Linked DNA regions of Danio rerio. The protein of the gene in region 3 interacts with the protein of the main gene of each other region in a pairwise test. Links are inferred from orthologs where the notes say so. Each region holds a gene or a part of one and is shown on either strand. Other genes may lie near its edges.

Region 1 (3,766 bases), on a different chromosome or scaffold from region 3:
GACCCTGGTGCAAGTATCATTTTGGCAAAAGCCAAAAATGCATGTAGGTCAAAAGAATTGAATTTTCTCTTATGCCAAAATCATTGTATTGAGTAAGGACCATTAGGATATTTTCTAAATATTACATTGTAAACAAAATTTGCATCGCTAAACACTAGAAAACTTTAAAGGCGAGTTTCTCTATATTTTTTATTTTATTGTAAGCTTGGTAAGCTTAGTTGGTAATAGAAAGTGTAGTTATTCCGATTTAATTCATTCATTAATTTGATTTCAGCAGTCCTTTATTCACCAGGGGTTACCACAGCGGAATGAACCCTCAACCTATTCAGTATATGTTTTACACAGCATATGCCCTTCCAGCCACAACCCAGTACTGGTAAACACCCATACACTCTTACACATACACTATATATATCTATATATATATATATATATATATATATATATATATATATATATATATATATATATATATATATATATATATATATATATATATACTATACTATACGGTGCATGTCTTTGGACTGTGGGGGAAACCCGAGCACCCTAAGGAAACCCTCACTCAGGGAGAACATGCATCTCCAAACAGAAATGCCAACTGACCAAGTCGGGATATCATTAATGTGATGTATAAATCTTAATTACCAAAACCTGCCTTTAATAGTTTCTTGTTTTATAGTACAGGGTAACAAATATGGGACGTTTGTCATGAAAGTAGACGTAGTCGAGTGTAAAGATCGCTAGAGTTGTGTATTGGGACATGGCCATTGTAGCTTGTAGGTAAGGGATAGTCTAAAAATTGGCAGCTACATTTATCTAGTCCTCAAACGAAATTAAACTACAGCTTGTTCTCTTTGTAAAAGCTATTATTTAATTATAGGTAACTAACATTAATCTATTATTTGTCATCAAGGAAGCAAATACATTAAAAAACTAAAATAATAAAGCGAGACTGCAAAAAAAAAAAAAAAAAAAGGGAATTTGACATGACCCCTAGATGAGTGTTCTCGCGAAAGAGGTGTTATCGCGAGACAAGAAGGAGATGTTTTGAGTCTACATGCGTCTGTTTTATGACAACCTGGGTTAGTAAACATTGATGTTTTAATTTAATGTTGTTGTATTAAGTAGTTATTCGTAATAATGCTTTGTCATCTCAGACTATGTAACCTTACGTCATATTTATTTTGCTTTAGGTCATTTTGCGTACAAACACAATGTTACTTTAATGTCGTGTAATAATCAAATGTAGGGGGGGGCATTGTGCTGTACGTTACACTCATAAATAGATTAAATAATTAGATACGTCTTCTGTGGAACTTTGTCATGACATTGCCATGGTTTAATTGTAGTAAATATAATAACAATTATTTCTTGTTGCATAACCCACCATTTTTTTATTTAACTACCACAATGTTACTACAAATGTTGTGGTTAATCTATAGCATTGCATTGATTTGTTTTTACAAGGATTTAACTACAGACACACACACTCACCGGCCACTTTATTAGGTACACCTTACTAGTTGGCTACCAGGTTGGATGCCCTTGTGAACTGCTATAATCCTTCGTGGCATAGATTTATATTAGAAATATTCCTCCGAGATTTTGCTCCATATTGACATGATAGCATCATGCAGTTGCTGCAGATTTGTCAGCTGCACATCCATGATGTGAATCTCCTGTGCCACCACATCCCAAAGGTGCTCTAGTGGATTGAGATCTAATGACTGTGGAGGCCATTTGAGTACAGTGAACATATTGTCATGTTCAAGAGACCAGTCTGAGGTGATTCACGCTTTATGGCATGGTGCGTTATCCTGCCATAAGTATAGTATAGAACTCCATGCCTTCATGTTGTTGAAGCAAAATTCTGACCCTACCATCAGAATAACGCAGCAGAAATCAAGACTCATCAGACCAGGCAACATTTTTCCAATCTTCTATTGTCCCATTTTGGTGAGCCTGTGCGAATTGTAGCCTCAGTTTCCTGTTCTCAGCTGACTGGAGTGGCACCTGGTGTGGTCTTCTGCTGCTGTAGCCCATTCGCCTCAAGGTTGGACGTGTTGTGCGTTCAGAGATGCTTTTCTGCATACCTCTGTTGTAACGAGTGGTTATTTGAGTTACTTTTCAAAACTGAGCTGGTCGGGTTTGGCGATCCTATCCCTCTGCATTTATCAGGTTTTGGTGAGCTTTCCACTTATCAAAAACCTGTTGTTAGAAACCTAGGATTTCAATTCGACAATGATCTGAAATTTAACAAGCAATTAAATACAATTGTTAAATCCAGTTTTTTCCATTTACGACTTGTGGCAAAAGTAAAGTCGTTTCTTTTAATTTTTAATGACCTTGAGGAGGTGATCCATGCTTTTATTTTGGGAAGACTTGACTATTGCAATTCCCTGTATGTGGGTATTAGTCAAAATGCCCTAAATAGATTGCAATTAGTACAAAATGCGGCTGCGAGACTTCTGACAGGGACTCGCAAGTTTGCACACATATCCCCAGTTCTTTCCTTTCTGGGCTGGCTGCCTGTTAGGTCACGGATTGATCTGGCACCATCTTACTTATTAGACCTGCTACATGTATACAATCCTGGTAGGTAACTGAGGTCTTCTGATGAATTTATTCTATCTATACCAAGGTCCCGGTGTAAGCGGAGTGGGGATCGGGCTTTTGCTGTTGTCGCCCCAAAACTCTGGAACGGGCTTCCTTCCCACATCAGACATGCTCCAACTCTACCTGTTTTTAAAAAGCATTTGAAACGCCATCTTTGTTCTCTAGTATTTGAGCCTTTTTAATGTTGAGGGGTTTGCCTTATGTTTTAATTGCTATGTGTGTGATGTAGATTTTATTTTTAGTATTGATTGTGTTCAGCACTTTGGGCAACGTTGTGTTGTACAAAATGTGCTATATAAATAAATAAACTAAATAAATAAATAAACTAAACTGTTGCCTTTCTATCAGCTGGAACAAGTCTGGCCATTCTCCTCTGACTGCTGATGTAAACAAGGCATTTGCGTCCCAGAACTGCCGCTCACTGGACTTTTTCTCTTTTTCGGACCATTCTTTGTAAACTCTAGAGATGGTTGTGTGTGAAAATCCCAGTAAATCAGCAGTTTCTGAAATACTCAGACCAGCCCGTCTGGCATAAACAACCATGCCACATTCAAAGTCACTTAAATCAGCTTTCTTCCTCATTCTGATGCTCGGTTTGAGCTGCAGCAGATCGTCTTGACCATGTCTACATGCCTAAGTGCAGTGAGTTGCTGCCATGTGATCGGCTGATTAGAAATTTGCATTAACCAGCAGTTTTGACAGGTGTACTTAATAAAGTGGCCGGCTAGTGTATTTTTACTGTAATAAAACTGACTCTTCTTGGCAGCCTCTTTATTTGACGATGATATTAATTCCATTCTGTTGTCAAATTAAAGCAGCTCCGCCATGGACTCGCAGTCATCGATTCTGGAGGAGAACTTGGAGAAGATTTTGAGGGGTGAGGGTCTCGAGTTTGATTCAGTCGCTGAACAAGTGGACCCAGTCACACTGAGGAAGAACGTGTGTTATATTGTCGGCGCAGTCATTTTCAATTCAAAGGTAAAGATGGTGTTGTTGTTCTTGCATGTGAGTGTTGTCTATTTACTGGAACAAGACTGTTTGGTAGCAAGGAATGAAACTGAAGGCAGCACAGTCAATGTGGCTTAATTTACAGTATGCCAGTGTTCAAGAATTATTCTCAGTACTTTATTTACATACTGGTCATGTG
Region 2 (3,766 bases), on a different chromosome or scaffold from region 3:
CAGTTTTCCAGGTAAATTTACACTGCCATTTCATTGCTGTTGTTGTCAGGTATTATAAATTGAGTTTATGACATCTGCAGTTCATTTTCTACTCAAAATGACATTCACACTCAAACAATAGAGAAACTGTGATAGGAAATCAACTATTTACATGTTTTCAAGAAAAGCGAGCATAAAAAAAAATCTAATTTTACTTAATTCCACACATACAATTCATTGTTTAACAAATTTTGGAGCGCAAAAACTCAAAAAAGAAACTACATTTTACATAGTCATTTTTCAGCATACAAGACTTCTGATATGCTTCAAAATTCAACTTAAAACTTTCTACGTAAAACATGAGAATTTTATCAAAATGTTGACAGTTTGTTTACCATATTTGATTGACTCTAAATATGCATGTCCGTCAGTATTAAAATATGACAACCAATCAAAATGGGTTCATCATATAAAACAATAACTTCTCTTCAAAAGCACTGGATTTAAGAGCCTGATAAATTTAGAGTGCTAATGAACAGGCATGGGCTGGTGTAAGATTCTGGTGGTATGATAATCTTGGATAAAACATCACGGTTTCACAGTATAGTGATCACTGCTCTAAAATATATTCTTTTTAAATGTCTGGGTAAAAAACAAAAACTTTTCCCCCTCTGAACACAATACATCATTTTATTTTAAGAAATATTTAAAATATTTTGGAACTGTAAACATGTCAGGCTAAATTCAAATGGATCATTGGCTGTGTCCGAAATGTGTCTATACTTCTATATCATAAATTACGCTAAAACAGTATGAGACCGGACCAGTGTGTCCAAATTCATAGAATTCAAAAAACAGTATATGCGAGAATTGTGCATTCGATACACACTGTGCTATCTCATAATGCCCTGTGGGAGAATTTTTGAATGAGAGTGAAGCGACGCAACTTATACAGGTAGGTCACGTAATCATGACAAAATGGAGTATGTAGTACATCCGAGTTCCATTCATACTGTACAGAATATACTTTTTAAACAGCAGATTTAGTAGTACATTTAAATTCAAATGCAGTATCTACTGAGTAGTAGGCGATTTCGGAGGCAGCCATTGACTTCTGCTGTATTCCTTTTTTATAGTTATTTTTTAGGGTTTTTTCACTTTTATTTGAAAGGACAGTAAAGTTTGCAGACAGGAAAGTATTGGGAGCAGAGGGGAAGGGTCAGCAAAGGACCTTGAGCCAGGAATTGAACTCGGGTCGACATGAGCACCATGGTGCAATGTCAGCACACTTCACCACTAGGCTATTGGCACGGACAGACTTCTGCTTTACTCGTTAGTTTCAAAAACACAGATTTCTTTACGAATCAAAAGAGCATCTTCGAAAAAAAAAATGTTTTAAAAAAATCTTATATAATATATCTTAAATGGTATAGCAGAATATTTTGGCAGTTTCAAAACCTTTTCTGAACCACAGTTTACCTTGAAAACGGTTATCGTGCCAGATCTACTTATGAATTTCATAAATTGTCAGTTTTTATTAGATGGACTTTCAGTGAAGGGATCTGTCAAATTTATTTTCAATTCAAAGATGAATGGAAATGTTGGTTTGAATGACATGAGGGTGAGTAAACGATTGCCACATTTTAATTTTTAAGTTAAATGACTCTTTACACAAACACTTCTGTCTACATTAAATAAAGGAACAAACCTCTTCACACTCAGAGCTCTATGTCACAACACACCACACAACATCATTTGAGAGAAGTACATTTAAATAAATGGCAAAAAATATATATATATATTTATTTATTTCACAATGTGGGTGAGATTACCATTTTTGGTGACATTTTTTGACATTTTGTTATGACAGAAACTGGTGGAGATTTCCGAGTGGTTCTGGGCTTACGTGAAGACAGGTAGAGGTAGCTAGTTTACTATCACTACGATTCACGTGACAGCACAGAACTTCTTAAATGACTACATGTGTCTCACAGAAGTGAAAACATACGTAATGAGTCAACTGTGCTGCAAATATGACTAAACTTATTGTTTCAAGAGCTTATTCCAAATGATAGAAACTCCACATTTGCTTAATGAAAGAAAAACGATGAGCAACATATTCGAGAAAAACAGGCCGCATCACCTGACATCTAGTATTTACTTCCAAGACAACAAACTGACACAAATAATTATCTATTTAAAAGAACAGTTCATCCAAATTGAAGAAATTCCTTCGTTGTTCAAGTTGCTTCAATGTCATATGATGTTTTTTATCTCGGTGGAATACAAAAGGAGATGTTAAACGTCATGACAGCGTCGGTCACAGTTCAGTTTTAGTATATGAACTAAGATATAATGACAGCGAACGGTGGTTTAAGTATATCAAAATATATTATGGCCAAAAAAACAACAAAGACACACAGGCTTGAAAAAACATTCGGGAATACAGGCCGTTTCCCATTTCCGCCTGCTCCGTTAAACTCATCCAGCGACAGTGTCAGCTAACTTCAGCTAGCCGCTTCAAGGTGTGGTCGGATCTCTGGAAAACTGTGTTTTTTATGCTAACCAACATCTATATTAACCCAATGCACAGTAACTAAATAATATTATACATATAACGATACAGACTCAAATACGCTACTCCAGCCGAAGAGCAGGAGTTTGTTTGGGCTGCTCGAAGTGAGCTAGCCGGTTAGCTGGCCTTTACTGTTTAATATAAAACCACACTAACTAACAATAACCACGATGATCGGAGACGCTTTAACTTGTACAGTCGCGACAAAAGTATTACGTACTTACCTTTAAACAAGTAGTCGTATTCGTCGTCTCGTGTCCCCATCTCGATCAAAACAAAAGCGCAAACAATGGAAGAATGTGAAGGAAAGTGGAGGCGACCCGTCGCTGTCCTCTCCGCTGCGGCACTGCAGTCTGTCTGTGATTAGGCAGTAGCCATGCTAACGGCTTAGCGAGCAGGCGAACCAGAGAACATCTCCTCAAGTGTTCCGGGTGAGGGCCCTTACAGACTGTCAAAATAAAAGCAGGATTATTTATTATTTTTATTCATTGTGTATTATTTCTGTTCACCAAGGGCATTTTATATAATGAAGTATAAGACATATGTTTTTGTAAGGAACCACCGTCTCAATTGAGCCAATTTATTATGGAGCCAGATCAGTCTCAAAAATAATACATTTACAAAATATGATTCATATATTCACAAAACAATACACATTTACAAAATCCAATTTGTATGTTCTAAACACAATTCGTAAATACATAAATCCAATTCATAAAATTAAAAACACAGTTCATAAATAGAAATCAAATTCACAAATTCAAAACACAATTTATAAATGCACAAATTCAATTATTAAATTCAAAACATGATTCATAAATGCACAAATCCAGCTCGTAAGTTCAAAACATGATTCATAAATACACAAATCCAGTTAGTAAGTTCAAAACATGATTAATAATTGCACAAATCCAATTTGTAAGTTCAACACACAATTCATAAATACACAAATCGATTCCTAAGTTCAAAACACGATTCATATATACACAAATCCAATTCATTTGGCGAAAATATTAGGATGTTTACTTGTAAAATCACAAATTGTGTGTAAATCCAAATTGGATTTTGTAAATGTGAATTGTGCTATGCATGTATGAATCCTATTTTGTAAATGTATTTTTAGACTGATCTGACTCCATAATTTATACTATAAAGAGAGAAAAATATTTGGTTTCATTTAAGTTACATTGTAACACGCTTATTTGCTTATTT
Region 3 (3,766 bases):
ATTTTATTATTTTATTAAATCAATATTTAATCAAATCATTAAATAATTATTAAATTGATTAAATACTTATTAAATTAGGTTATAAAATTATTTTTAGATTTAATTATTAAATCATATTATTAATAATTAAATAAATCATTTTATTAAATCATTAAATTACTTTATTAAATCATTATTTAATTAAATCATTATTAAATTACTTTATTAAATACTTAGATTAAATTATTAAATCATCATTAGATTATTTTATTAAATCATTATTTAATTAAATCGGTGAATAATTATTACATTTATTAAACACTTATTAGATTTGGTTATTAAATGATTTAAGATTTAACTATTAAATCATATTAATAACAATAAAATAAATAATTTTATTAAATCATTATTAAATTACTTTATTAAATTCTTATTAGATTAAATTATTAAATCATTATTAGATTATTTTATTCAATAATTATTTAATTAAATCATTATTAAATTATTTTATTAAATATTTATTAAATTAAATGATCAAATCATCATTAGATTATTTTATTAAATCATTATTTAATTATTTTATTCAATCATTATTAGATGTATCTCCATTTATTTTTCCAAATAATTGAATTACTTTTTAGACAACGCAATTACAAAAGTTATACAAATGTAATTTCAACGATGTAATTAGTGATGAATTTAAGTAACTAACCCGACACTTTCAGCCAATATATACGATTATAAATCAAATAAACGCATACATGTGAGCTCATTTACACAAAATCACACCGATCGCTAGTTAAATGAAAATGCTGGTAAAAGCAGAATGAAAACAGAAACATATTGCATGCAAATCCTCTCTACTCTGCAACAAAATGCAGTTTTTTTATAATATCAAAAACATTCTTAAATCAAGAACCATTTCTGCACAAGCAAGTCTTGATTAAGGAAATATTAAGCCGAATGAAGTTGAAACGAGCAAAATAATCTAGTTTTTCCTTTTGACACATGATATATTACCCCAATGGCAGATTATTTAGCTTGTTTTAAGTGAAAAACTCACTTAATTTTGCTACATTATTTCTTCAAACAACAAAATGCTTCCTGATTTGAGAATATTTAAATATTTGGACTAAAATCAAGACAAAAAAAATCGAAGTAGCTTTTAGTGCAGTGCATTGCTCATTTGCACACTGCATGCATAAGAAGTAAGCAGCAATACTCACAGCCTGTGATGCTTCATGAATTGCCAGCGTTTTTACCGGAACCGTTATGATTGTGAGATCCAGACGCCCACAACTCCGGTCACTTGACCTGATAATCTGTTTTTCCACTCACAAAAGAGGCATTGTGCAAAACTAGGGGGGGCTTATTAATCTGTGCAAATCTTCCACACACATTTATAGACGTTCATAGACTCGATTATTAATTGCGTGGTTATGTAATGAGAACATTATATCGATGATCTGATGTTTTAATTCATTATTGAACGTTTGTTGTATTTTGAGGCCCTCAGAAGGGAGTTTTCTGCAGTTTTTATCGCCCCCTAGTTGATGAAATGCTGATCTGCTGGTGGCCCCGTTGCATTTCTTTAACCCTCGAGTGTTGGAGCTGGGAATGTTTAGATGCTGGGAACATGCAAACGGCTTGTAAGGGTGTGTTTTATTTTTGCATCAAGAGTTTATGAGGAAAGAGCCGGGTCACTGGGGTAAGCCTGATTTTTGTTGTTGTTCTTTTTATATTTGCGTCTGGGTGTTTTATTTGACGTGAGAAGTGCTCTGACATTATATTGAAGCATTGTGCCTAAACACTGGCTTCCATACAATCAATTTGCATTGGGACAACATGAAGGAATTAAGTTACCTTATTAGTTTTAACAAATTTAAGTTAGTTAAAAATAAAACCTCAAGAATTGTGTTGATTCAGCTCATTTAAAAGAAAGTCATCCTGTATTTATTGAGTATATTTAGAAAACAACACTTACGCTTCACCTGCTTTGTGTTCTATTCATAAGCATTATTGTGAGTTCTATTTGTTATTATATGAGATTATTATTAGGATGTACTGTAATAAGTTATTTGTTCCCTACATTTATTTCAATAGTATATTTTCAGTACTATTTGGAAAAGGGCTGCTGTTGTTTGGTGTCATTGTTGAAATAGCATGGTTCATGAATATGATCACTTGCTGAATATACTTAATTGAAATATGATATATTTGAACTTTTGCTTAATATGTACACGTAATTATTGTAGATGTTTATGAAAAAGGATAAATGTTATAGGATATGTATTTGTCCACTTGTTTGTTAAAATGCTACGGATATGATATTGCATATATCATATATTTTATTATTATTTTATTTTATTATTTTAAATTTGTGCTTTAATATAATATAATATAATATAATATAATATAATATAATATAATATAATATAATATAATATAATATAATATAATATAATATAATATAATATAATAAATTATATTATATTAATCATATTATGTCAATTTAATATAATATAATATAATATAATATAATATAATATAATATAATATAATATAAAATAATTAATATAATAAATATAATATAATATAATATAATATAATATAATATTATATAATGTAATGTAATATAATATATTAAATTATGTTAAATTAATTCTATTATATTCTATTATATTAATTATATTATATTATATTAATTTAATTAAATATAATATAATATATAATAATAAATATAATATAATATAATATAATATAATATAATATAATATAATATAATATAAAATAATATAATATAATATAATAAATATAATATAATATAATATAATATAATATAATATAATATAATATAATATAATATAATATTATATAATGTAATGTAATATAATATACTAAATTATGTTAAATTAATTTTATTATATTATATTATGTTAATTATATCATATTATATTAATTTAATGTAATTTAATTTAATATAATATAATATAATTTAATAAATTTATTATAATATAATATAATTTAATAAATAAAATTAATATAATATAATATAATATAATATAATATAATATAATATAATATAATATAATATAATATAATAAATTATATTATATTAATCATATTATGTCAATTTAATATAATATAATATAATATAATATAATATAATATAATATAATATAATATAATATAATTAATATAATATAATATAATAAATATAATATAATATAATATAATATAATATAATATAATATAATATAATATTATATAATGTAATGTAATATAATATATTAAATTATGTTAAATTAATTCTATTATATTCTATTATATTAATTATATTATATTATATTATATTAATTTAATTAAATATAATATAATATAATATAATATAATATAATAAATATAATATAATATAATATAATATAATATAATATAATATAATATAATATAATATAATATAATATAATATAAAATAATATAATAAATATAATATAATATAATATAATATAATATAATATAATATAATATAATATAATATAATGTAATGAAATATAATATACTAAATTATGTTAAATTAATTTTATTATATTATATTATGTTAATTATATCATATTATATTAATTTAATGTAATTTAATTTAATATAATATAATATAATTTAATAAATTTATTATAATATAATATAATTTAATAAATAAAATTAATATAATATAATATAATATAATATAATATAATATAATATAATATAATAAATTATATTATATTAATCATATTATGTCAATTTAATA

What was found. The genes of interacting proteins can lie anywhere in the genome.
Region 1: the proteins of rab3il1 (region 3) and nudt18 interact in binary tests that used the Homo sapiens proteins (3 or more experiments, as listed by UniProt). The two-hybrid records come from large-scale screens. The link is inferred for Danio rerio from reciprocal best matches to the Homo sapiens genes RAB3IL1 and NUDT18.
Region 2: the proteins of rab3il1 (region 3) and rab11a interact in a two-hybrid assay, tested with the Homo sapiens proteins (2 studies listed by BioGRID and IntAct). The two-hybrid records come from large-scale screens. The link is inferred for Danio rerio from reciprocal best matches to the Homo sapiens genes RAB3IL1 and RAB11A.

The regions. Positions count from the first base shown.
Region 1 is NC_133183.1:55,665,740-55,669,505, forward strand, and holds the start of nudt18 (8-oxo-dGDP phosphatase NUDT18), read left to right. Parts: upstream 1-1,033; 5' UTR 1,034-1,085; intron 1,086-3,434; 5' UTR 3,435-3,444; coding exon 3,445-3,597; intron 3,598-3,766. UniProt on the Homo sapiens protein: Mediates the hydrolysis of oxidized nucleoside diphosphate derivatives. Hydrolyzes 8-oxo-7,8-dihydroguanine (8-oxo-Gua)-containing deoxyribo- and ribonucleoside diphosphates to the monophosphates. Hydrolyzes 8-oxo-dGDP and 8-oxo-GDP with the same efficiencies.
Region 2 is NC_133193.1:20,516,637-20,520,402, reverse strand, and holds the start of rab11a (ras-related protein Rab-11A), read right to left. Parts: upstream 2,939-3,766; 5' UTR 2,819-2,938; coding exon 2,779-2,818; intron 1-2,778. UniProt on the Homo sapiens protein: The small GTPases Rab are key regulators of intracellular membrane trafficking, from the formation of transport vesicles to their fusion with membranes.
Region 3 is NC_133200.1:3,665,737-3,669,502, forward strand, and holds the start of rab3il1 (guanine nucleotide exchange factor for Rab-3A), read left to right. Parts: upstream 1-1,562; 5' UTR 1,563-1,687; intron 1,688-3,766. UniProt on the Homo sapiens protein: Guanine nucleotide exchange factor (GEF) which may activate RAB3A, a GTPase that regulates synaptic vesicle exocytosis. Promotes the exchange of GDP to GTP, converting inactive GDP-bound Rab proteins into their active GTP-bound form.